Linked DNA regions of Rattus norvegicus. The protein of the gene in region 1 interacts with the protein of each later gene in a pairwise test. Links are inferred from orthologs where the notes say so. Each region holds a gene or a part of one and is shown in the gene's direction. Other genes may lie near its edges.

The links.
Region 2: the proteins of Tfip11 (region 1) and Lmo1 interact in binary tests that used the Homo sapiens proteins (3 or more experiments, as listed by UniProt). The two-hybrid records come from large-scale screens. The link is inferred for Rattus norvegicus from reciprocal best matches to the Homo sapiens genes TFIP11 and LMO1.
Region 3: the proteins of Tfip11 (region 1) and Imp3 interact in binary tests that used the Homo sapiens proteins (3 or more experiments, as listed by UniProt). The two-hybrid records come from large-scale screens. The link is inferred for Rattus norvegicus from reciprocal best matches to the Homo sapiens genes TFIP11 and IMP3.
Region 4: the proteins of Tfip11 (region 1) and Sfr1 interact in binary tests that used the Homo sapiens proteins (3 or more experiments, as listed by UniProt). The two-hybrid records come from large-scale screens. The link is inferred for Rattus norvegicus from reciprocal best matches to the Homo sapiens genes TFIP11 and SFR1.
Region 5: the proteins of Tfip11 (region 1) and Ppp1r18 interact in binary tests that used the Homo sapiens proteins (3 or more experiments, as listed by UniProt). The link is inferred for Rattus norvegicus from reciprocal best matches to the Homo sapiens genes TFIP11 and PPP1R18.
Region 6: the proteins of Tfip11 (region 1) and Zgpat interact in binary tests that used the Homo sapiens proteins (3 or more experiments, as listed by UniProt). The two-hybrid records come from large-scale screens. The link is inferred for Rattus norvegicus from reciprocal best matches to the Homo sapiens genes TFIP11 and ZGPAT.
Region 7: the proteins of Tfip11 (region 1) and Snx20 interact in binary tests that used the Homo sapiens proteins (3 or more experiments, as listed by UniProt). The two-hybrid records come from large-scale screens. The link is inferred for Rattus norvegicus from reciprocal best matches to the Homo sapiens genes TFIP11 and SNX20.

The regions. Positions count from the first base shown.
Region 1 is NC_086030.1:49,959,525-49,962,257, reverse strand, and holds the end of Tfip11 (tuftelin-interacting protein 11), read left to right. Parts: intron 1-1,161; coding exon 1,162-1,517; 3' UTR 1,518-1,711; coding exon of another isoform or gene 1,712-1,915; 3' UTR 1,916-2,159; coding exon of another isoform or gene 2,160-2,205; 3' UTR 2,206-2,233; downstream 2,234-2,733. Other genes in the region: Srrd (SRR1-like protein), read right to left, coding at 1,712-1,915, 2,160-2,205, 2,514-2,668. UniProt on the Homo sapiens protein: Involved in pre-mRNA splicing, specifically in spliceosome disassembly during late-stage splicing events. Intron turnover seems to proceed through reactions in two lariat-intron associated complexes termed Intron Large (IL) and Intron Small (IS).
Region 2 is NC_086019.1:172,571,034-172,574,533, reverse strand, and holds part of Lmo1 (LIM domain only protein 3), read left to right. Parts: intron 1-2,325; coding exon 2,326-2,539; intron 2,540-3,500. UniProt on the Homo sapiens protein: May be involved in gene regulation within neural lineage cells potentially by direct DNA binding or by binding to other transcription factors.
Region 3 is NC_086026.1:66,234,247-66,236,886, forward strand, and holds Imp3 (U3 small nucleolar ribonucleoprotein protein IMP3), read left to right. Parts: upstream 1-1,251; 5' UTR 1,252-1,260; coding exon 1,261-1,815; 3' UTR 1,816-2,140; downstream 2,141-2,640. UniProt on the Homo sapiens protein: Component of the 60-80S U3 small nucleolar ribonucleoprotein (U3 snoRNP). Required for the early cleavages during pre-18S ribosomal RNA processing. Part of the small subunit (SSU) processome, first precursor of the small eukaryotic ribosomal subunit.
Region 4 is NC_086019.1:256,559,227-256,563,332, forward strand, and holds the start of Sfr1 (swi5-dependent recombination DNA repair protein 1 homolog), read left to right. Parts: upstream 1-1,306; 5' UTR 1,307-1,370; coding exon 1,371-1,383; intron 1,384-2,272; coding exon 2,273-2,442; intron 2,443-3,070; coding exon 3,071-3,463; intron 3,464-4,106. UniProt on the Homo sapiens protein: Component of the SWI5-SFR1 complex, a complex required for double-strand break repair via homologous recombination. Acts as a transcriptional modulator for ESR1.
Region 5 is NC_086038.1:2,889,530-2,893,478, reverse strand, and holds the start of Ppp1r18 (phostensin), read left to right. Parts: upstream 1-1,149; 5' UTR 1,150-1,194; intron 1,195-2,193; 5' UTR 2,194-2,198; coding exon 2,199-3,764; intron 3,765-3,949.
Region 6 is NC_086021.1:188,850,249-188,854,418, forward strand, and holds the start of Zgpat (zinc finger CCCH-type with G patch domain-containing protein), read left to right. Parts: upstream 1-1,370; 5' UTR 1,371-1,505; coding exon 1,506-2,074; intron 2,075-4,170. Other genes in the region: Arfrp1 (ADP-ribosylation factor-related protein 1), read right to left, coding at 140-227, 484-660, 1,067-1,225. UniProt on the Homo sapiens protein: Transcription repressor that specifically binds the 5'-GGAG[GA]A[GA]A-3' consensus sequence. Represses transcription by recruiting the chromatin multiprotein complex NuRD to target promoters.
Region 7 is NC_086037.1:34,608,059-34,612,196, forward strand, and holds the start of Snx20 (sorting nexin-20), read left to right. Parts: upstream 1-1,338; 5' UTR 1,339-1,434; intron 1,435-4,138.

The DNA.
Region 1 (2,733 bases):
AACCACCACAGTAGGGTTCCTACTGGGGGTGTCCTGGGACTGTTTCCTAAACGTGACATTTTTATTTTTATTTGGTCCTTTGGGAGTTTACTCTGTCTAGTGTCCTGTGGACCTAGTTACTTATGAGGCCCCACCATTTTGTCCTGTCATAGGCTGATAGCTGAATCTGGCTCCAGGCAGCCTTCCCACACTGTTGTGCAGAAAACACATGGTGATAGTCGCTTCCTTCTGTGTGACGCATGCTCTGTGCCCTTGAGACAGTATCAGTGCCTTCCTCACAGCCTACGAGAGCTAAGCTCATGTCCACAGCACCTGGTCCTTGTTCACTGTCAAGGGCCATGCAAGTCACAGCGCTGCGCTGTGAGTAGACTGAAGGTGGTCACAGCAGAAGCAAAGGGTGTTGCCTCTTACTTAGCCTGATGCACAGCGGCACTATTTCAGTTCTCAGTGAGGCCCAGAGTTTATGGAGGGCTCCGAGGCTTCAGGGCGGTGGCTGGAAGGGAGCTGCTGTCTTCTGTACCTGTCCCCATGTCACCTCAGCCAGCCCAGCCATGTTTCCAGCACTGCTTCTCCTGTACTTCTCACAAGTTTGCATTTGGGTCACACTGTGGTCCTTCAGTCCCCATAGTCTAGCTCCTCAAACGTTTTTCCATTTAAAGTTTTTAATTATGTTTGTGTCTGTGCCTGGTGGATGATCCTGTTGTACACAAGTGCAGTGCCAGGGATGGACAGAAGGGGTATCAGAACCCACGGACCTGGAGTTAGAGAGTTGTGGGCCATCTGAAGTGGGTGTGGGAATCAAACTCTGCAAACATAATACATACTCCTAACCAATGATCCCAATTTTCCGCTCTACAGAGAGGCCTCTGTAGCAAGGGATAGAATAACAATTGTAGGCCATGCTAGACAATAAGGTGACCTCATAAATGGTGACTTTAGGGTCCACATCTCATCTGATACTGAGAGGATCACTTCTGATATCTGATATTAGCTACGCAGCTCCTGGACCAATTTTGTGATACTGACTCTCCCAAGCATGCAGTAAATCATGTTCTTGCCCAGGTCCTTAAGCAGCAAGTCATATACCATGTCATCATGATGCTCTGGTGTTGGCTCTGCGTACCCGGGGTCACCTCTCCTCACTGTTCTCCCTTCTCTCAGGTGCCTACATGCAGCCAGGTGCGAGGGAGAACATTGCCTACCTCACCCACACGGAGCGCAGGAAGGACTTCCAGTACGAGGCCATGCAGGAGCGCCGGGAGGCTGAGAACATGGCACAGAGGGGCATTGGTGTGGCTGCCAGCTCTGTGCCCATGAACTTTAAGGACCTCATTGAGACCAAGGCGGAGGAGCACAACATCGTGTTCATGCCTGTCATTGGCAAGCGGCACGAGGGCAAGCAGCTCTACACCTTTGGCCGCATTGTCATCTACATTGACCGGGGTGTGGTGTTTGTGCAGGGCGAGAAGACGTGGGTGCCCACCTCCCTGCAGAGCCTCATCGACATGGCCAAGTAGACATGGGCCACGACAGACAGGCGAATAAACAGCACTGTGAAACAAGCTGGTAAATAACGTCTCTATTTGGGAGACCATGGCACCAGGGCAGGATGTGACTCAGTGTCCCCAGTCGGGCTGTAGTCCCGGCCTAGCAAAGAGCTGGTGTGGTGTGCACTGTGGCCCCTGGCCCAGGTGGAGAGAATGGTGTCCTGCTACTCCAGCTGAGTGGCTGTGGGTTTCCTGATGATCTCCAGGTCCTCACAGTTCTGGTAGTCAGGCTCTTCCCGGGATGCCCACAGGTCCTCAGATAAGCCTTCCAGCTTCAGAAGAGGGAACCAGTGGACAGATGTGTCATTGAAGGTGTCGGTGTACTGGGGAGTTTGAGGCAGTGGGAACTCCTCCAGGCCTTTCAGAATCTGAGTGGAAAGGGCCAGACACAGGCATTAGGCATGGCCCACTCTTTGTTCACCTGCCTACCCCACTGTCCTTTTGAGATAAGAAATGGGGATTTGTATTTGAGCACTTTTCAGTTCCACGGGTAGTGGGAATGCTGGGCTCACCCCGAGGGTGAAGGGCACAGATTAGGAGAGGGACCAGCTGGTTGTGGATGGACAGTGTGGCTTTGCACCCCTACCCCAGCCCAGCTATTCTGTCAGACACCTTTGCAATGTATGAGTAATTTTCCTGAAGAATCCTCGCCAACAACCTACAAATAAAAAACACATATGCAATTAGGAAGTACATGTTTTCTTTCTCAACTAACAACAGGTAAAAAACAGGATGACTTCAGAAGGGTTGAGGGATGTGCAGGAGGGCAGCACAGGCAGGCACTGGGAAGCAGATCAGGAGTGGTCCGCACACTTAGAGCATGGCTGCCCAAACATGCTGCCCTCAGAAGAGGGACACTTGCAGATTCCTTCAGTGCCTTAAGCTGGACCCAGGGTTTGACATCTGCCTTAAACCTTTAACTCGGTTCCTCATGGGGAAGGCGGGGCTGGCATTCCTGACACTCACCTTTCCTCGAGGCCTTGGAAACTGTTCCCGATGATGACCACCCTGGACAGGGCATCTGCAGACCAGTTGCTCCACAGCAGGTTGTTGTATAGAGCTGTCCCACAGTGTGGCATGTAGAAGACAGTGGGCTGGCTCTGGACACTGTGCTTGCCTTCCTGTGGAGTCAGCAGGACGTGTGCTAAGGAGCTGAGTGCAGATCCCAGCTCTGCTGTGGCAGGGC
Region 2 (3,500 bases), on another chromosome or scaffold:
GACCTCTGTGAGTCCCACCTCATTACTGAGGTGTCCAACTTTACCCCACATTGCAGAGCTGAGCGTAAAGGTCAGGGTTCTGCTGGGCCCAGGGATCAGAGTTTGTACTACCCTGCAGCCTTGCACAGACCCCTTAGGACTGGGAGACTTCACCTGTAAGACTTTTCCCACGCCACGTCCTCAGGCCTGCGGCCTGCCTTCATGCCACAGAGATCGGAGTTCAGCCTGTCTGGCTTCATTCCCTGTACTCCCTGGGATTGAGGGAGCGCATGGGCTGAGTGAGACGATTATTTTGCCGGGCCTCGTGTGTGTACCTGAGCATGTGCCTGGGCATGCATGTGGGCACAGGCAGCCTCCATTGTTAGAGATGGGTGTTTTCATTCGTGAGTAGTAATTATTGGGTAATGCTTTAAAGCCTCCCCTGAAGGAGTGCAAAGCTGTTTTTCCCCCCTGAAGTCGGGGAGTACGTTAAAAGGATTACCATGTAGATTTGATTTTTAGATAACGCTAAAATGGATCCCAAATGGACTTCAGCAGAGGGCTGCTATCTTCCTAATGGAAAGTGCATGGCCCCAGGCTCTACTCCCAGAGCCAGCAGAGGAGGGGCAGGGAGGTCTGCAGGGGGCTGACTGGCTGGCAGGCTAGAGGGGGTTGGGGAGACAGGAGTTGAGAGACCAAGTATAGAGCCCTAAAGGGACCAAGCCCTCCCTCCTGCATACCAGGTGAGAAGGACAGGGCAGTCTCTGAGGCTATAAGGTGTCTCTGGCTTGAGGTCTGACTTGGTGTTTATGTGAACAGTTCTCCTGGACGGGTGACCCTCCACAGGCCTCAAGGGACAGTCTTCCCATCCTCGGAGCCCAGGCCTCCCTTTATCTTCCTACACTTTATCCCTCCCCGTAGGCAGGCCTTAGAAGGAACTTCTGAGGTCAGCTTCATGGGCAGATCTGGGCTCTGTCAGAGGAGACACAGGCTGACCCTGGGACAGCCGTCATCCTGAATACTATCTCTCATTCAGACCAATTAACCTTTAGAGCTGCATTAAGGAAATTAGGCAGTGAACTTCCCAGCTAACAGATGGTCCTATGGTGATGGAAGGAGGGAGGGAAAAGGGAGCTGACCTCTGCCTATCAGGGGCAGCTATGGGGCCTCCTCCTCCGTGCCCTCACCTGTCCCTTTGGTCTTGTGGTGTCAGTTATGTCTGAGCTCTCTTCTTGCAGAGAGGACTTCCCTGTCCTAGGGGCTGTCCTCCTCTCCAGCAGAAGTCAGAGGGGATGACTGGAACAGGAACAAATCCTCAAGTCATCCCCATCAGCAGTTTAGTGGTTTAACCATCCTACCTACCTGGACTTCAGGTTCCCCATCTGTAGGAGGAGAACATTTGCCTGGAAAACGGGGGGAGGGCTATTCTGACCTGATATCTGTGAATCTAAGGTCACTAGGTGGTGGGGTGTCCCCTGAAGCCAGAGGACACATTCCTCCCTGAAGGGGGAAAGGAAAGGGCGGGATACAAATCAGTAGCTGGGCCTGCGGATAGGCACAGCGTCAGAGCTAGGAATGGGAAAGGTACCCAGGGCTGGAACTAAGTCCTACACACAGGAAGAACACAGATGGGTCGCTGGGTCAGGAGAAGGCCAGTGGAGACAGAGACTGGGGCCTGCCAGAAGCTGGCTGTGTTGGAATGGTGGGCTTTGCTGACTTGTTTGTGGGTAAAGCCTGCCTCTAACCCACCCCATGTTTTCTCAAGAGGCTTGTCCTCCGGCAGCCCTCCATGTACAACCACAGACTTGGTTTCCGTGCCCCCTGCCCGGCACTTTCGTCTTCCTTGCTCCTGGACACTGTGTCCCCGTTTCCTCCTCTGCTGCCCTTCCCAGTGGTTCCAGGGGACCTGGCGCGTGTGACTGAGTGCTCACCATGCCCACACTTGCACATTGTGCTGTGTGCAACGGCAGTTGTGAGTGCGCACACTTACCTACCAGCAGGCGCTGCCTTCTGTAACTGCTGCACACCGAGTCTTGCCTGGTACTTGTCGCTGCTTCCTATATGTCGAGAAGCTTGCACACACGGGACAGTGACTAGGAAGGAGAAGAGCCCAGCAAGCCCAGCAGCTTCTGGAGGGGTCTCGACAGGACCAAGGCATAGGCTATGGCACGTTGCCCAATAGACCAGGCCTGGGGCCTGGGGAAGAGATAGAAATGAGAACTCTGGAGCCTTTACTTAGAGGAAACAGTAAAGAGAAAGACATACTCGCCCCCTCCCCTGGAAGGGTGTGGTGCCCCAGAACTCCAGGGCAGTCCCGTACCCACCTGTCTTGTTTTTCCATCACAGGTGTGCCGATGCTCTCCGTCCAACCTAAGGGGAAGCAGAAGGGCTGTGCAGGCTGCAACCGAAAGATCAAGGACCGGTACCTGCTGAAGGCCCTGGACAAGTACTGGCATGAGGACTGCCTCAAGTGTGCCTGCTGTGACTGTCGCCTGGGCGAGGTGGGCTCCACTCTCTACACCAAGGCTAACCTCATCCTGTGCCGGCGCGACTACCTGAGGTAGGTAATGCTTCTCTGCCTCCTTCCTTCTGGCCTGGTGCACCTTGGCCTTAAGCTCTAAACCAGGCAGCCTGTGTGCACAACTGTGTGACTGCTGCTTCCTCACTGTTGTGTGTCAGCCCCGTGAGCAACCCAAGAGCAGGGTTATGTCTTCACCTCCCTGGACTTGGCCCCACAGGATCTGCTCAGGCATTAGTAAAGTCTTGGACACAAAGATAATCTTCCCATGGGTAACAGCCTGGCCTCACCCTCACCCATTTCTTATGGGCATCCAGAAAGGGACATCTCAAAGGGGCCTGGAGGCAGTCTAGACTTGCCTGGGCCTTCTTCCCAGGAGAGTCTCCTGCCCACCTCTCCCTGGAGTCTTCCTCTCCAGGTGCACTGGGATTAGGCTCTCATTTGCCTGGGTTGGCAGGGAGCCACACCCTAGGACAAGGACTGCCAGCGCTTTTTAAAAGATCTGGGTTTGAACCAGTCCCCCAGCCTTTAGTTTTGAACCATTCTCCATTTTAACCCCTATAGCCCACCTTGCATTCTTCCGAGCTCTGCCTCTCCCCCACAGCTTGGATCTCATCCCCTGGGGCTGCCTTCCCCAATTAACCCTCCCTTAGGCCATTTATGACATCAGCAAGGCTGGAAGGAGGCCATGAAGCAGGGGCCTTGGCTGAGACCCAGCACCTGCATTTGGCTCTGTCACTAGCTGCTGGATGGTGCTGGGCAGCCTTGTGGGGAAGAAAGGCCCATTGCATTAATTAGCAGGATGGGGGTGAGAGAGCTGGTGGGACTTCTGCTCAAGTCAGGACAAGTTGGAGGAGGGGCGGGGTTATTTGGAAACTCCCACCTTCCCCAGAGACCCTGAGATTTACCTGTTTGGACCTTTCCTTTCAACTGTTGCCTTCAGCATTAGCATCAGATGTTTTAAAAAGCGATGGTATTTAGTGCTTCTAGGGCGGGGAGAGAA
Region 3 (2,640 bases), on another chromosome or scaffold:
AAAATAAAATAAAATAAAATAAAATAAAATAAAATAAAATAAAATAAAATGATGGCCAAGGTGGCTCATGCTCACTTGTAATCTCATTAATTTGGATCGAAGCTGGTTGGATTGTGGTGAATTTGTGGCTGACCTGGGCTACCTAAGGAAACTGTGTCAAAAAAAGTAAAAGGCACAGCTGCTTCCAATTCTGATTATTTGTTTGGTATTGCTCAGTATTACTTGGCAAGAAGAATCCCTCTGCCAGTCCAGTGACAGACCTGATGCTGGCTGGGATGGAACTATTCCTCAACTCTAGGAACCACTGGAACTGAGACGTTTGCAGAGTTCTAACCGCGTTCTTGGCAGAGACAATACTCTCCTCTTTTTAAAAATTTATTAGCATTCTACTTTTCTAACTTTGTGTACCCTTTTTTTTTTCTTTCTTTCTTTCTTTCTTTTTTTTTTTTAAAGATTTCTTTTATCAGTGCTCTAGCTGCATGTACATGAGCATGCCAGAAGAGGGCATCGGATCTTATTATAGATGGTTGTGATCCACCATCTGGGTAATGGGAACTGAACTCAATGACCTCTGGAAGAGCAGCCAGTGCTCTTAATTGCTGAACCATCTTTCCAGGGTTCGAGAGATAGCTCAGCCATTAAAAGTTTGGCTCACAACCAAAAATATGAGACAATTCTTTTAAAGACGATAACTCCTCACTCTGGGAACTGACATCTGCATCTATTGAGGGGGCAGACTGTCTTTGGTCATCAAAGACAGAAATCTGACAGACTAGGGGCTGCCAAGATGGCTCATTAAGAATAATTGACTGTAAAAAAAATAAAAAAAAAAAAAAAAAAAAAAAAAGAATAATTGACTGTTTTTTCAAAGGTCCTGAGGAATCCCATGATGGTTCACAAACATGGGATCTGAAGCTCTCTTTTGGTGTGCATGAAGACCGAGCACTCACATACATAAAATACGTCAATGAATAAATCTTAAAAACAAAACAAAACAAAAAAAAACACAACACTAGAGAAAGTCTACCGGACTGCTAATAAAGCTGTCTTTGCCCAACACGCCTCTCCTTCCGCAAGTCTTTCTCCCCACTCCCCTTTCAAAACAGGAAGTTCCAGATTTGGACGAATGAAAAGTCGGGGGCGTGTCTTCAATATTTCTTTTGATTGGTCCAGGAGCATGGAGGCGGGGGTCTTCCCTTGTCGTGGCGGAAATTACGTTGGGTTCTCAACGTGCTCTCAGCTTCTCGGGCTTTCTCCATCATGGTGCGGAAGCTTAAGTTCCATGAGCAGAAGCTGCTGAAACAGGTGGACTTCCTAAACTGGGAAGTCACCGACCATAACCTTCACGAGCTGCGCGTACTGCGACGGTACGGGCTCCAGCGGCGCGAGGAGTACACACGCTACAACCAGCTGAGCCGGGCCGTGCGCGAGCTGGCGCGGCGCCTGCGCGACCTGCCGGAACGCGACCCGTTTCGCGTTCGCGCCTCGGCGGCGCTGTTGGACAAGTTGTACGCTCTGGGCCTGGTGCCCACGCGCGGCTCACTAGAACTCTGCGACTCCGTCTCCGCCTCGTCCTTTTGCCGCCGCCGCTTGCCTACTTTGCTCCTCAAGCTACGCATGGCACAGCATCTCCAGGCTGCTGTGGCTTTTGTGGAGCAGGGTCACGTCCGCGTGGGCCCAGACGTGGTCACCGATCCCGCCTTTCTCGTCACTCGCAGCATGGAAGACTTTGTCACCTGGGTGGACTCATCCAAGATCAAGCGGCACGTGTTGGAGTACAATGAGGAGCGCGATGACTTTGATCTTGATGCCTAGCGAGTCTTGTCCTGGTTTCTCAGCTACAGGTCACTGAACCGGGGATGGGGAGAATCGCCTCTGTGTTCCGGGAAATTTTCTTAGAATTTGGACTGACAATTGACTGTGTCTTGAGAGACAGTGGGAAGCAGTTTTTACTGCTCTGGGGACTGTTAGCTTCTTGTACCTTAAACTGTGGTGTAGAAGCAGGAATGTTACCTCTTCCCTTCTTTGCTTTATCATCGTGAAATAGAACAGATGGAGAGTTTGAGTTCATTTTATTTATACCATTTAAAGAAATCCTTTCCTAATGCCAATAAATGTCCCGACCACGTTGTTTAAATGCACATTTTGGTCTGGTCCTTCGTCTTACCATATCTGTTGATCTCGCTAGCTGAAGAGCCTAAGAGGAGGAAAAGGGTTGTAGACGTGAGACTCTGCAGCCTCACGTGGAGGCTGCAGGATGTTGTACACGCTGGGCAGATTTGTCACTTACCCAGTCCTTTTCTCGGAATGAATGTTTTGGCAGAGCTTTTATCCACAAGACTTCCTGTTGATATTTCAGCCCCAGGAAATACCATATTAAAGTCTTGGAGTGTTTGCTTGCCTAAGGAAATGATCGCCCTGTAGTTTGGCCAGCTAGTGGTTAGAAGGGACCCAGGAGGTTCCTGAAAACAGATGTTCTTCAAGGTCCTGGCTTCAGAGTTACTAAAAAAAACAAACAAACAAAAAAAAAACAAACAAACGAGCAAAAGGGGTGGGTAGTGTTGGCACAGCCTTAAACCCAGCAGTTGGAAGGTTAAAGCAGACAGATCTTTGAGTTTGAGGCCAGCCTGGTCTACATTA
Region 4 (4,106 bases), on another chromosome or scaffold:
TGAGGTACACGTCCACATTACGTACACGCTATAGCAAAAACAAAGCAAATAAAAAACCACAATGCCAGCACTGGAATCTAGGCAACTGCAACATTTGCAGATCTAATCACCTCCAAAAGTTTCGTTAGGTTCTGTATTTATAACTGACTGCGTAGGATTCCGACCACTTCTTTCGGATTACTTTAAAGCCACCATTAGCAGATATTCGGAAAGAGATTTGTCCTCTCTCACAAACTTCCCAGTGACTCACAGGTTACTCAGCTGACTTCTCTACACCCAGTGCTCCACCCAAGCTAGTTCACTTTGCTGTTGCATAGCAACAGAACATCCCTAACACCAGAAGGCGTTGCAGCCTCTCAGGGTCTAGCCAGAGGCCTCCCAGGGGCTCCCCAGCGTCTAGCAAGGGGCCTCCTAGGGGCCTCCCAGGAGTCGAGCCAGGGTCTAGCAAGGGGCCTCTTAGGGGCCTCCCAGGAGTCGAGCCAGGGTCTAGCAAGGGGCCTCCCAGGGGCTCCCCAGCGTCTAGCAAGGGGCCTCCTAGGGGCACCCCGGGATCTAGTTCTCAAACTTCTGGATGCTAGACCGACCCGATCGGATCGACAGTCCCGCTTCCTGTCCTGCGCCATAATACACTTCCTTAGGTTACATTTTCTCAGATTGGACCAAAACAAGTGAAGCCAGTGGGCATAGACCAAAATAAAGGGGCGAGACTGCAAAGCAAGCTGGAGATGCTCTCTACTGCACGTGCAGAGACGCCGGGATAGATTCCTATCAAGCTGGCTTCCAAACAGACCACAAAAGGCTAAGGAAGCGTTCGCCAGCAGGGAGCCAAACGGGCCCCGCGGCTTCCGGTCCTGCCACGTCTGAGGAAAAGCCTCTGCTGTTGTGAAAGCGGAGACTGCCAGGGGGCGGGCGCGCGGGGGCGGTGCTCTCAGGCCCATTACCCAGAGGATGCACCCCTCTCCCTTCCCCCAAGGGAAGCTGCTTGGGAAGGCGGCTGGCACAGCAACCCTCGTAGGAAGTGGCGAGCGGAAGCGCGCCCCCCTCAGGCCCGTCCAAAGGCCTGACACTATTTTTTGCCTTGGAAGCCACCCTTAGCCTGGCGGCCTTGCGCGCGTGGCCGAGCCCTGGAGCGCGCCGGCCAGTCCTGCCAATCACGAGCCGCGCCCGCCTCCCCCCTGGTCCCGCCCCGCCCCGTGGCTGAGGCTCGTGGGCCTACGCGCACGCGTAGTCGGAATTGGACAAAGCACATCCGCCCGCTACGGTCAAGCTAGCCAATCGCACGTCTCTCCTCCGGTGGGGCTCCGCCCCCGGGGCGAGGTCAGTGTACTCCGGGCGCTACGCTGGTTGTGTACGCTGTGTCTGCTGTGAGCATGGCTGAGGAAGGTATTGAGCTTTCTCCCTGGGGCTGGTCTGCGCGTCAGGCCTGCGGGTGTCTGCATATCTGATAGAGAAGCTCTTCCCGGCGTCGCGGGGGCTCGACTTCCTGCTCTGTAGGGTAGAGGGCTTTCTATGGTGAGGGAGGTGGAGGAGAGGGGGAGGGAGAGGAGAAGGAGGGGGACTGGGCTTAGAAAAAAGAGCGCGGGAGGGAGCAGCGGGAGAGCGCTTTCTGTGGTGAGGGGGCGGGGGAGGGAGTAGAGAAGGGAGAATGAGGGGGGATGGCTTTCTGTGGTGGGAGGGTGAGGGGAGGGTGCGGGGGAGGGAGTAGAGAAGGGAGAATGAGGGGGGAGGGCTTTCTGTGGTGGGGGGTGAGGGGCGGGGCGGAGGGGGCGGGGCGGAGAAGGCGGGGCTTGGTGGAAAAGATAGGGCGGGGGAGGAAGGCAGAGGCCCTGACCCTAGAAAACCAAAAGGGGCCGACGCTGCTTTCTGGCTCCTTGGGACTCATTCTTCTAGGCACAAAGCTTTTAGGATTCAAGATTCGGACTGTATCGCTTTTATTTACGAAATTATAACAAAGATTAAAATTCTTGACTACGTAGAGTTAGTTCCCTTCCCCGAAATCCAAATTTTTGGAGATGTTTTGAAGGAGAAAAATGAGTGTCAATAAGATACTAGCCGGTTTATTTGTCGTGAAAGAAACAAAATTTGGTTACTCCCCATGTGGAGAAGTAAATGGAAAGAATATGAAAAGAATTAGAATAAATTACAGGTACAAATAATTGGAAGAAATTGCTGACTTTTTTGGTGTTTAGTTCACTGAAGAAAATTTTGTTGAAAAAATTGAGGTCTGTTTTGAGATAATTAATTTATCATTCTCGTGTCTTTCCCTTTCTAGAAGGAAATCAGGAGATCACTTCCAAGATGGAAAACCCCTCAGATTCAGCATCCACTTCACCTGACATTCCTCAGACCAGTGAGAATCCACCATCACCCCCAACCTCACCTGACAAGCCTCAGACCAGTGAAAATCCACCATCACTCCATTCGAATAGTTCAGGAAAACAAGTATGAAAATTTTGTGTTGTCCTTTACCCCCATCTGTCCTGTGTTTCAAAGTATTCCAATAGTGGCAGTTCTAAGGATACTGGAGTGTGAGTTAATATATAGCCCATACCTTGCTAACTGCCAGATTTTCTTCTTGAATCAGTTCATTTCGTTTAATTTCTTACCAGGTTACTGAGATGCTCCAAACCAAGGAAACATATCTGTACCGTATTTCAGGGGGAAGTCTTTGGTAGCAGGTCTTCTCCTTAGTTTATAGTTCTGAGACATTTCTGTTTCTAGTATTGTCAGGCAAATACTAGCTGCCAATGACGGTAACCTTGCTAAAGCAAGACTAAAGGTAGCCTCTGGAACTTAGATACATTGGTGATGCCCACTTGAGGTTTTTGGAGACCAAAAGCAACCCATTGTACCTACCATAGAAGCGTACAGACTTTGTTTCGAATACATTGATGTACTTCAAGAATATATTCTTTTTTTTTTTTTTTTTTTTTTTTTTTTTGGTTCTTTTTTTCGGAGCTGGGGACCGAACCCAGGGCCTTGTGTTTCCTAGGTAAGCGCTCTACCACTGAGCTAAATCCCCAGCCCCAAGAATATATTCTTAACATTTGATGTTTTGTGTCTTTTTCAGCCTATGAGTGGGACACTTAAAGAAAGATTAAAGAAAGCAAGAGCTTCATCTCAACCTTTTTGTAGTGTGGTGAAGCGTATTAAGGTAGAGAATGAAGAAAATGATCAGACCCTTTCAGAACCAGGAGAATCTTCAAAAGAAGAAAACTGTTCAAAAGCCCAAGAAAGCCTGGAAAACAAAGACAATGAACCTGAAAAAGAGAGCTCAGAGGATAAAAATACGAGTGAATCTAAGTCACTTGATACTGGGTCATCCAGTGTCCTCCAAAAAGATTCTACTGAGAAGACTATAAAGCAAACTTTGAAGGAAGAAAAAGCAAAACTGACTAGGCAGGTTCAAGAGAAGGAAGACCTTCTTCGGAGGTTAAAGTTAGTCAAAATGTACAGAATAAAGGTGAGAAGAATTTCAGAACCATTGAACCATTTTTACATAAATTGCTGTAAATTCAGAAATTGGAAATAAATTTTAGTCTGATAAACAAGAAGCCGAAAAACCCAGAAACCTGAGTTAGTTACACCAAGAGCTTTGACTGAATTAGAAATAACTGGTTCAGAATGAGGCAGATAAGCCCCTTCAACACGAGGTAGAACTTAAAAGCTTCAAAGCTTCAGCTCTTGTTTAATGCACAGATGAAGCTTGTGGGCTCTAATTTCTAGCCAGGAGCAAGATTAGAAGTGTGAGGTGTTGGATGGAGGTGCAGTGGGAACAGAAAGGGATGTCGCTAGAACTAAAAACACACCACAGAATGCTGGGTGCTGCACTTTCCGTAACGATCATGTGTCTGATAAAATGTCAGGCATTTTATTTGAGAAAACACAGATTTTAGGTTTCAGCTCACACATGTTGAGTAAAATAGAACATGGATGTTTGGAAGGAGGAGACATCGCTGCTGCTCTTACCCACAGATCACCTCGTTCTATCCCCAAAATGTGGAGTAAATGACAATAGCGTATCTTATATGTGGTTTTGAACTTTTAGGACTTTTCTAAATGTAACTGATGCTAAATGTTGAAAATGCTTTAAGCTTGAATATGTT
Region 5 (3,949 bases), on another chromosome or scaffold:
CTCTTCAGAGCATGACCTCCACACACACACAGGGTCAGCCTTAGCACTCCATCCCCTTGTTATTGGCTCTGCACCTCAGGGATTCCCTTCCGTGTTTCCACCTCGAGGAGCTATGTCAGGGCCTATCTGAAAGTTTGTAGGTAATGGCTCTTTTGTACTGCGGCTGTGGTTCCTCCCCACCACTGCCTTAGTTTTTCCACCTCATCAGCTCTGCGGTGCTGTCTTCTACAGCGATATCTCCCGTTTTTTTGTTTTGTTTTGTTTTGTTTTTTTTTTTAACTCGGGTTGACTCGGGGCTCCCTCCTCTCCCAAAGGACATGCGCTGCAGAAAAATTAAAATTTTATACATATGACACCCAGTTGTCTGTCCATGACTCTCAAGCCGCAGGACCAATTGGGGGGAGGGGGGGAGGAAGATTAGGCCAAGTTTTTGTGGCGATAGCCAAAGCACTCTAGGACGGATCCCTGGGCTGGGGCCACACCCCATGGACCCGCCCCATCTCTCAGTCCTCCAGTCCTGTTCCCTCCAAATATGAAAGTCTCTCCGCGTATAGATCAGGGAACCCGTGGGAGACAGAATAACTCTCTGGGAGGGGAGCGAACTCCCAAAGCTATTCGCCTCAGACCCCAGGGCCTGGCAGCCGCCTTCTCTGCCACGGTAACAAAGACTAGCCAGGGAAAGAAAAGGCGTGGGGAGGAGCAGCTAGAGATGGGAAGGGCGGGTCCGACTCCAAGCAGCTGCCGCTTCCTCTCCATGTCCCTTAGGGGGCCTGAGTCACGGGCCGCCGCCCCGGGTCGGCCTATTGGAGCACTGGGGTCTGGACACCCCGCTTCTCTAGGGCTGCAAGGAAGGAAGCGGGTGAAGGTCTCAGGAGACAGACAACCGAGAAAAAGGGGATTGCTACGGCGGGAGAGAAGTCCCACCAGAGTCCCACGCGGGAAGGAGGGCAGCGAAGCCCCGCCCTTCGCCGGGCTCCTCCCTGCGCCCCCTTCCTTCGCCCCATTGTCCGTAGACAAAGCGGTCGCCGCCCCCGGCTGGCCCCCTGTCTGCGTCTCCGTCCCTCCTCCTGGGTTCCCCCTTCCCTCCTCCTCTGTTTCCCTCCCTCCCTCCGGATCTCCCTTCGCCTCTCTCCTCCTCTTCCTCTCTCCCGACGCCCGACTCCACTGCACCTCCTCCTAGGGACCCCAAGGCGTGTAAGTTGACTGTAGGGCTCCCACTTTAAGGGAAGTGCCTCGTGGCTCTAAATCTCCCTTGGAGTGCCTCCCCTTTGTGCACAGATTGTCCGTTCAGTCCTCTCGGGTGCACGTCCCACTGGGTCAAGGTCCCCTGAGAGCCGGGTCCCTGGTTGGGGGACATCAGAGGCGCGATGCGGGTCCTCGTCGCGCCCGTGTTCTGGGGGCGCATCTGGTGGAGAGGCCGGCGAGATTGTAGGGACTGGACGCGGGTGGACGCCAGGGTTCTGGGAATGCATAGGCTGCCACACTTGCTCGGGTACCAAAAGTCCCCGAGGAGGGTATTTCCCCTGACCCGCCTCGGGGGCGGGATAGGCAAGTGGGGTAGGGGCCGGGCTGAGGGGCGGGGCCGAGCGCCGCTGGGAAGGCAGCCGGGACCTGCCGAGGCCCCGCGCGCAGAGGCGCCGGCGCCCTTGCCCGTTTCCCCGTCTCCCCTTCTCCCCTGGACCTCTGTCCTCCTCATCTAGCCTCACCTCCTCACATCTCGTCCGACCTCTTCGCCCCTCGCCTGCTGCTTCTCTCTTCCCATTTATCTCCCCTGGGTACCGGGGAAGCAGTCTCGACTGAACCCTCTCACTTCTCGGCCCCGGCTCCTCCGGCTCCTCGCTCTCCTGCTTTTCCTTACCTCCCCTTTTCATATCTCAGGGACCGTCTGGTGCCCACAAACCCCAATCTGGCTCTGCCTCTGCCCGGAATCTCGACTCTTCCTCTCCCATTATCCCCACCCCCAACTTGGCACCCGGCTTTTCTCCTCACTTTTTCAGTTCCTGACTCTTTTGCCCTCCTTCCTCTCACGGCCTTCCTCTATTTTCATTCTTAACTCTACAGTCCCTCTCTGCCCTTCTTAGTTCCTTCCCTCATCACTTCCTCCCTCCCCCCACCCCCATTCTCAGTCTCTGGGCTTCTCTGAAGCTCACCCTTCCTGTTCCCGTCCCCCAATACTCTCTCCTTCACTTCCAGCGACCATGACCGCTATCCCAGATTGGAAGCTACAGTTGCTAGCCCGGCGGAGGCAGGAGGAGGCAGCGGTTCGTGGCCGTGAGAAAGCAGAACGGGATCGCTTATCCCAGATGCCAGCCTGGAAGCGGGGAATTCTGGAACGACGCAGAGCCAAGTTGGGCCTACCTCCTGGAGAGGGGAGCCCTGTGCCTGGGAATGCAGAGGCTGGACCTCCAGACCCGGATGAATCTTCTGTCCTTTTGGAGGCTATTGGGCCAGTACATCAGAACCGATTCATCCAACAGGAGCGACAGCGGCAGCAGCAGCAGCAGCAGCAGCGAAACGAGGTGCTTGGTGATAGGAAGGCTGGGCCTCTGGAGGCTCTAGAACGGAGATCAAGTCCTGGTAATTTAAGAGATCAGAGCCCTAAGGGAAGAGAGTCAAGAGAAGAGAGGCTAAGTCCCAGGGAGGCCAGAGATAGGAAGCTGGTGATAGGAGGAACCCAAGAGTCAAGTTCGAGGTCTTTGGAGACTGGAGACTGGAGGCAGAGCCCAGCAGAGGCCAGAGACCTGGATTCCAGACCAGCTGAGGCTCAGAAATGGAGGCTGAGCCCTGGAGAAACTCCAGAGGAGAATCTGAGATTAGCAGGTTCTGGAGATCACAGTCCCAAGAGAAAAGAGGTATTGGAAAGCAGACTGAGCCCTGGGGAGTCTGGCGACCAGAAGACCAGTCTGACAGAGGCCCATAAATGGAATCTTGACTCAAGAGAAGCCCAGAAACAGAGCTTGGTACAGCTGGAGGCCACGGAGTGGAGGCTGAAGTCAAGTGAAGAGAGAAAAGACTACTTGGAGGAGTGTGGGAGTGAGGAAGAGAAATTGGGTTCAGGGATTGCCCCAGACCAGCCTTCAGTGACAAAGGAGGTTCAAGACACCACCTCTAGAGAAGTGGAGACTGCCGAGCAGAGGCCCACTGAAGGCTGGAAATGGACCCTAAACTCTGGGAAAGCTCGAGAACGGACACCTTGGGACATAGAGACGCAAATTCATAAGGCAGATCCTCCAGCATCTTCAGAGAAGCACCCGGGACCTTCTGCTGTGGAGGCTGGAGGGGAGGCTGAGAAGGAGGAGGCGGGGGCTCAGAGCAGGCCTCTGAGAGCCCAGCAGAACCGCTGCTCTGGGCCCTCCCCCCTCCCACCAGAGCACTCTGGGACGGAAGGCTCCAGACAGCAGGAAGAGGAAGCGGCAGAACCCCGGCCCCCAGCACCAGCCCCTCTGTCTCCCCCACCCTCGGCCCCAACTGCCCCCCAACCCTCTGGGGATCCCCTCATGAGCCGTCTGTTCTATGGGGTGAAACCAGGACCGGGGGTGGGGGCCCCCCGACGCAGTGGACACACCTTCACTGTCAACCCACGGAGGTGTGTGCCCCCTGCCAGCCCAGCCCCTCCAGTCAACCCTGCCACAGCTGATGCTGCAGGGTCTGGATCTGGCAAGAAGCGGTACCCAACTGCAGAGGAGATCTTGGTGCTGGGGGGCTACCTCCGTCTCAGCCGCAGCTGCCTTGTCAAGGGATCCCCTGAAAGACATCACAAACAGGTAAGAGAGCTACCACGCCTGACTGGGTAGAAGTCTCTTTCTAGTTCTGACTGGATGACTTTTTTATATGCCTGTGCCTCTTCTATTCTTTTTATTCTTGCCAACTCCCTTCCTCCCCCTGCACACACCCTTCCTCCGGGTGGCCTTCCTTTGCCATTCGTTTTGGAGCCCCAAGGATTCCGTTC
Region 6 (4,170 bases), on another chromosome or scaffold:
ACAAAACATTCTGGTACCAATCCCAGGGGGCTTGAATAGAGAGATGGGGTTCTGACCACTGGTCAGTTGAGTTGTGGACCTTACAGTATCCATTTCTAAGGGACCCCCCCAAGCTCATATCCCTAAGGTGCCCCCTTACTGTTTAGACCCACGGTAGTGGTGATTTTGGATAGACTCATTCCCTTGTAGTTCTTGTTAAATCGTGTTTTTGACTGTTCCAGGAAGGTCTGAGGAAAGAAAGAGAGGTGGTTAGATAGCAGCACCTAGAGCAGTTTTCTGGTGTTCTTCCCAATATAACCCTTCACACCTATATGCTTTGGGCCTTCACATCCATACACATATGCACGCACACCTCTCTGCCTGTTGACTGCTCTTCAGGAGGCTGGTGACAACTAACCTGTAGTCTTGGGGCCCCGGGTTAGATTTCCAACATAAGAAAACATCAAGCGGGGAATGGGAACTCGTGAGAGAACAAGGACCTACCGTCTTCCCAGCATTGTCCAGGCCCAGGATCAGGATGCAGTATTCATCCTTCTGGAACATGTACTTGTACAGCCCGGAAAGCAGCGTGTACATCCTGTTTGGCACCCTGAGAGATGTCAAGGTGTGTACCAGGGTCATCGGCCTCCTGCCCGCTTCATCAGTGATCAGTCTATCCTGCTAGTTTTTAAATGAGGATCCTGACTCTCCCCCCCACCCCCTTCGGTTAAAAATCTCTGACCCTGACTCCACCCTTGCCCACCTGCTAAACCTGGGCCACTCCCACTTAAGGTCATCTTTCAGAATACACCATCGACCTGGAACCCTGAAAAGCCCGTGGCGGCCTACTCTACTCCGCCTTCCAAAGGATCCTCTTTCCGAACCCTCAACTCAGCGACAGGAAGCAGGGCCAGCGGACTGTCTAGGGAGCTACCAAAGAGGCAAAGCTTCTGGCGAGGGTCGGCTTCGGATTCCCGCCGCTGCTGGGCCCACGGAGACTAGGAACCATCTGCTGAAGCCACTTCCGTCCCCCTATTTCAGGACTCTAGAACCCCAGCTCCTCAATTCAGCTGAGGCCCACCTGTACCTGCTCAAATTTTGGAGGAGGAGCCGCCGCCACCGCGTTACTAACCCCACCGACCTCACGTTGACCCCTCACGGTGCCTGACGGAACGAGGATCGACAGACCCAGCACGGGCGGAGTCGCATCCCAGCGTCCCCCGCGCGCCGGTACTTCCGGCAGCATCGGCTCTCCGGCGGAAGTGCCAGCGGAGGGCGGAAGGTTAGCGCGTGAGCTTTGCTGGGGAAGCCGGAAACCCTTCTAGACTGCGACCGCAGTCAGGAGGTGGGGTTGCGGACGGCAGAGGACGGGGGCGGGTTAAGTGCAGGTCCCCTCGGCAGAGCCTGGGTCCTCCTCAGCCTTTCTAGCGGTTTGGGGGGGGCGGCGTTGCACTTAGCCCTTCTTACTGCTCTTCCTTCAGAGCTTGTCTGCCTTAAAGGTTCCGAAACCAGCCTTCTGGGTCAGGATGGACGAGGACAACCTAGAGACTGCCCTGCAGACCTACCGGGCCCAGCTTCAGCAAGTAGAGCTGGCGCTCGGTGCTGGCCTAGACGCTTCTGAGCAGGCGGACCTGCGCCAGCTGCAGGGCGATCTAAAAGAATTGATCGAGCTCACCGAGGCCAGCCTGTTGTCGGTCAGGAAGAGCAAGCTGCTATCTACAGTGGACCAGGAGCACCAAGAAGATGCTGAGTACTTGGCTTTCCAGAAGGCTATAGCGGAGGAAGCACCCGTTGACCCCGGCAATGACTCGAAGACGGTCCCTGGGAGCGAGGTGCAGCCGACACCCACCTCCTCTGCACTGGAGGAAGAGGAAGAGGACCCAGATCTGGAGGATCTGAGCGGTGCTAAAGTGAATGCCCCCTACTACAGCGCGTGGGGCACGCTAGAGTATCACAACGCCATGGTTGTTGGCGCCGAAGAGGCGGAGGATGGTTCTGCGTGCGTTCGGGTACTCTACCTATACCCTACCCACAAGTCCCTGAAGCCCTGCCCGTTCTTCCTGGAGGGAAAGTGCCGGTTCAAGGAGAACTGCAGGTAAAACCCTCTGCTACTAGCAATGTGGGACACGTAGTCAGGACCACCGCTGTGGCCTGCCGCCACAACTTTTTCTGCACCCTGCAGAGTTGATAATGAAGAGTCCGAGCTTCAGGTGACTGACAGGCTTTTACAGAAGTGTTCTTCGTTTGTCTACTTAGATTTTCTTGCATAAATCAAAAAGTTTGAAAGGGCTATTGTTGAAAGGATAGGGCAACCCATCATCAATATTATTCTCCAAGGTAAAACGTTTTTTGCTTTGAGATGGCAATGTAACCTCGGCTGTTCTTCAATTCCTGATCCTTCAGCAATTGTGCTAGATCCCGAATGCCTTCAACTTCCAAATGCTAGGATTACAGGTGGAGGCCACCACCACTTTTACTGGGCTACATCTTCAGCTTGGAACCTTTTTTTTTTTTTTTTTTTTTTTTGACTATGATGAGGTGGAACTAGGGCCTCCAGCACACCAGGCAGTCAGCTACTCTACACCTCAGTCCTACCCTCAGCTATGGGGAGCGTTTATATATAGTCTTACAGAACATTCAAACACATAACCTCTTGCTACTTTGCCTTTCCCCCTTGTGCTACCTTTGGCAAGTCACATCTTTTTCTCTCACCCTCAAATACTTCAGAATGTAGCTAAATAATAATTACTAAAACCTACCTATGTCTTTTTTTTAAAAAAAAAAAAAGATTTACTTGTTATATATAAGTGCACAGACACACCAGAAGAGGACACCAGATCCCATTACAGATGGTTGTGAGCCACCATGTAGTGGCTGGGATTTGAACTCAGGACCTCTGGAAGAGCAGTCAGTGCTCTTAACTTAACCAGAGTTATTTCTCCAGCCCCTATGTCTTTTTTTAACTCAATAATCCAGAGTAACTCTAGTGCTTTGAATTTATTTTAGGCCACTGAAATAAAAACAGATTTGTTCTACTATAATAGTAGTTAGTAGTGATCTAAAATTAGTTTCACTTGGCCAAAGGCAGGATTTTAAGCAGGGCTAGATCCTTGGAAGTCTGAGGGTAGAATCCAGAATCCATTTCTTTGTCCTTTTTTTTTTTTTAATTATTATTATTTTATTTTGACTTATTTATTTTTTTTACCTTTTTAATGTTTTTCTCCAAGGATCCATAGGTTTCTTTTGTTTTGTTTTGGTTTGGTGCAGGGTCTCTGTGTAGTCCTGGCTGTCTTGGACTACATATAGCTATGAAGACCTGACTGGCCTTGAACTCACTACCCAAAGGCTGATATTAAAGGTTTGCACCATGGCCCGGCTATTTTTGGCCGGCTATTTTTGGCTTTTTTGAGACAAAGTTTCTATAGTAGTCCTGGTGGCTGTCCTGGAACTTACTTTATAAACCAGGCTAGCCTGGAACTAACAGAGAGCCACCCGCTTCTGCCCTCTGAGTGCTGTGATTAAAGGCAAGCACTACCATTTCTGGCTAAGATAAATTTTTAGTTATGTGTATTTGTGTGTGAGTGCATGCGTATGTGTGTGTGTAGGGGGGTGGGGGGTGTGTACCTACACAATCTTCTAGCCTGAGAAAACTAGAAGAAGGTGTTAACCACTGAGCCGTCTCTCCAACCTCCAGAGACCAACTGTATTCCTTGGTTTGTGGCCTCCTCACATCGCTTTAGGCTCTTATTCCCACGTTACATCTGTACTCTGCACATCTTATTTCTTTACTTTGTCTTTAAAATGAGGTCTCATGTAGCTCAGGCTGGCCACACACAGCCATTTCTATATACCCAAGGATGACTTTGAACTCTTGGTCTTCTTGACTTCACCTTCAAGGGCCAGAATTGTAAGCAAGTGCTACCTATCTTGGCTGTGCACATCTTTTTGTTGTATTTCATGGTAGACCGGACATGTCCTTGCCCAATCTTCCTTTGCTAGCAGATAGGTGCATAAGTGATCTGTGTGCCCAGCAGGTTTACTTTATTTGTGTATGGACAGGGTCTCTCTGTTGTGCAGCCCTGGCTGACTAGAGATGAGTTTGCCTCTGTCTCTGGAGTGCTGGGATTAAAAGAGTGCTGTTGTTGTAAAATTAAATTAAAAACTGTCTTTTACCCCCCACTAGATCCAGCA
Region 7 (4,138 bases), on another chromosome or scaffold:
CTCATTAAAATGGAGATCCGTTTTGAGCCTATGTGACAACAGGTCACATCCTCTATCTGTGGAGAGTCTTGGGGTATTGCCCATATGTGACTGGTGGCCACAAATCTATGGAGAGCTGTGGCTAGTGATGGGGGCCTAATACCCAGGAACGGGTGAAACTCCTATGTACCTTTCACTGTCCCACACACCGCCATTTTAGCTGAGGAGAGAAGAATAGAGCTAGAATGGTACATGAGAGGCCTTCCAGGGCTGGAGAAAAAGGTTATAACTTGTCCTTCTCTAGCCTCTTGTTCCTAAGGGCACATGCCCTGCTAGCCATACGTGACATCCCTGTGCTAGGGTCTGTCTTCCCTGGAACTCTGTCACAAATCGTGGTATGTCTTATCTCCTAATGGAAACCTGGAGGCCACCCAGTACCACTCTGTGTCAGGTGCTGTCTCTGCGTCCTACCAGCTCAAGTGTTCCAAACCTTAGTTCTCCTGCCTGTCAACAGAACATGAAGGGCCCATTATGCCGAGCTCATAGCTAGTATAATAACTATTAAAAGGAGGTATCCCCAGGCTGGAGAGATGGCTCAGCGGTTAAGAGCACTGTCTGCTCTTCCAGAGGTCCTGAGTTCAATTCCCAGCAACCACATGGTGGCTCACAACCATCTGTAATGGGATCTGATGCCCTCTTCTGGTGTGTCCAAAGACAGCTACAGTGTACTTACTTATATATTAAATAAATAAACCTTTAAAAAAAAAAAGGAGGTATCCCCAAATCCTTGTGTTAGACTGTGATTCCCCAACACTATAGGTTTGGGAGGTGAGGTCTTCTGAGGGTTGACTGTCATAAAGACAGTCTTCATAAAAGCATTCATGCTGTAACTGTGAAACTGGGGTGCGTAAGGTAGGCTTCCTCTTGCCTGCCCACCTCCTACCGTGGCATGTCACATGTGGCAGGACAGCCCTCACAGACACTGCCAATGTGCGCTTACATGTTCCAGACCCACAGCTACGAACTAAATAAACTTTCATACGTGACTTTTTTCAGTCTAGGGTCTTCTGTCGTTGCCACAGAAAAGGACTAAAACAAAGGTTTTTTTGAGATTGATTCTCCGAAATGCCAACAGCTGTCTGAGTGTCTAATAGGTATCGAGCTGCTTAAAGCTGCTGTGAGGTGAGGTTAGACTGTACTCCTGTGGGCAGCCTTGTACCACGTGGCCTGTATGATGTACTGCAGACATCTGTCTATGAGGTTCCATGTAGACCTTTCAGCAACCAATGAGCTGGAGCCTCTGAGGGAGATCACTCAGCCGATTTCCTGTTTTCAAAAGGAGAACTCAGAATTGCGGCAGACGTTCGACCGTCCAGTTGGACCTTGCAAAAAGAGATCGAAATGGAGCATGTGACCCTCCTGGACCTCTGAACCCACAAAGCCTGAAGATTCCAGGTCAGTCAGTATTTGACCCCAAGCCTAGCTGGCTTCCTCCCACTGAGACCCAGTGATCTCCTTGAGAGACCCTCTGGGAACTCCCTGGGGACCAGGTAGGAGGGACTAAAGATGGTGAGAGCCACTGCTATCTGTAGTGCTGTCCTCAGAAACTGGGGGCAAACCAGGAATACCCACCAACAACCTCCAAGCCTGACTCTTTTTAAAATGCCAGACCCCATCTCTGTTCCTGGGAACAAGTCCAGACTTGTATTTCTCAAAGGGCAGACCCTACAGCAGAACACAGAATCCAGAGCTCTGCCTGAGGGTTGTGGGGTAGGCACCCTGCTTTCATTAGAGACCCCGACACTGCCTCTCCCCAATCCCAAAGGGGATTCTGATGCACACCCATAACTGAGAGCACTTCCGGTGGCAAGTTTCACGGGGAAGCACTCAGGGGTCCTGTGGTGCCCATCTCTCCATAGCAGGGCGGGTGGAGCCTTGGCTGACCTTCCAGTGAAGACCGGAGGAAGCTGCCCTACAAAGAAAGGGGGCTTAAACTCAAACTCCCGCAGCCAGGGCTGCCGCCCCTGGCATTTCCTTCCTCCTTGTCTTTGAATAGGTGCCTCTCAGTTCTTGTCTTAGGGGCAAGGGTTGTTACTGCTTTCTTCTAGATTTTCATTCCTTCTGCAACCCCCTGAGAAAGGTGGCCTAGGCTCTACACGTGGCCTGAGTACCCAGGAGGACTGAAGAGGGTAGGACCCCTTGAACAGGGGAACAAGAGCCAAGGCACCCAGGAGATGAAGACTGTCACGCACAGGAGATAGTATAGGGTGGGAGCCTGTGACGCTGCTCTGTCCTCTGGGCCAAGTGCAGGTCCCCAAGCTATCGGTACCAACCTCTGCCATGCTTTATTGTGATGGCTAAAAATCTTTACCACGGAGGGTGTGGAGAGATAAGGCAGACCCTTCAGAGCCCTCTATCCCCAAGGAGCTTAGCAAACGGATTAATTTCCCATTTCCCACATAGGGAAACTGAGGCTTGGATGTGTTTGGGGAACTATCAACATAGCACCTTTTCCTACTTGTCTTTAACTGGGTCCCTCCCAGCCTGTCCTGTAAGAGAAGACACCCAGGAACAGCTTTGGTTGTGGCTTTGATTTTTATTCTAAGCCCTGGTTTCATGCTGGTTTCTTTTTAATGGTTCGACCAGAGCACACAGCATGGGCAAATTTCTGCGGTCTTCCGAGACTCCATTGGAGAAGTGCCCTGCTTCTGGCATGGCACCAGCTACCCAGATCAAGAAAGCAGATCTGGAAATGGACCACTAGGACCAGTTCCACAAGCCACCACTCACTCACCACGAGAAAAAGATAGGGAAAGTACAGAGTGCCCATAGGAAACATGACGACTCTATTCAGTAGAATAGGCGTACACTGGCACACCTGCCATTCCACCCCTTGGGAGGCAAAGGCAGGAAGATTATGACTTCCAGGCAGCTTGGGCTACATAGCGTACATCTTAAAAAAAAAAAAAACAAATGAAAAACACTGTTTAATATGACAGCATATGGGCTACCTACCATCTTGCTTTAGCACTTAGCTCAGTGGTTCTCATCCTCTGGGTTGTGATCACCGCAGGGGTCACCTATCAGACATCCTGAATATCAGATATTTATATTATGATTCAAAAACGGTAGCGAAATTACAGTTATAAAATATCAACAAAATAATTTTATGGTTGGGGTCACCACAACTTGAGGTACTGTATTAAAGGGTTACAGCCTTAGGAAGGTTGAGAACCACTAACTTAGAACATGAGGGACCCCCTCCCATTAACACTTAATGGCATGATAAGGCTTGTAGCCACCCTTCCCAAAAAGGAAAGGAAGAAATGGAGAATAAAACAAATAACTTGCCCAGGAGCCGCTCAGTCAGAATGGGGGCCATGTCTCCTGACTCCTTCACAGGGTTGACAGGTTAGCAGGGCATACAAGCTGTGAGTATCCAAGCATATACAGCTCTGGTCCAGCCCGGCCTCTGCTCTGTGCCTCAGTTCACCCACCTGTAAGTGTGAGGCTTGATTGAGGGTCCCTGACAGCACTTATTGGTCCACTGCTTAGATGCCACTCAGAAAGCAGTTCCTCCCACCTGTCATAGCAAGAACAGCCCCCTGAGGCACAGGCTGAAGCCCCACCAGCCTCCCCTAGGCCAGACAGACGAAGAGAGAGGATGTGTTGGCAGCACTGCACCTTTGAGTTCCCGTGCTGTGGTGGTTAATCTCACCAACTCAGCTAGATTTACAGTACCCTGGGAGCCAAGGAAAGTATACTTCCGGGTGTGTGTGTGTGTGTGTGTGTGTGTGTGTGTGTGCGCGCACGCGCGCATGCGCTGTTTCCACAGATGACTAGGTTAGGGGGAAGACCCACCCTGAATGTGGAGAGCACCATGTCAAAGGCTCAGAGGAAAAGAGGAAAGTGTGGTTCTTTGAGCTGGCTTTGCAGGTAAAGCCATTTACCGCTGAGCCTCATGACCCAAGTTCCAACCCCATGACCTGTATGGTAGAGGGAAAGAAGGAACTCCTGCAAGCTTGAATGGCCTCCATATGCTTTCCTCATGAGCTGAGGGGCATGCACATGCATGAGCACACATGTACACGCTCACACGCGCGCGCGCGCGCGCACACACACACACACACACACACACACACACACACACGATAAAAAT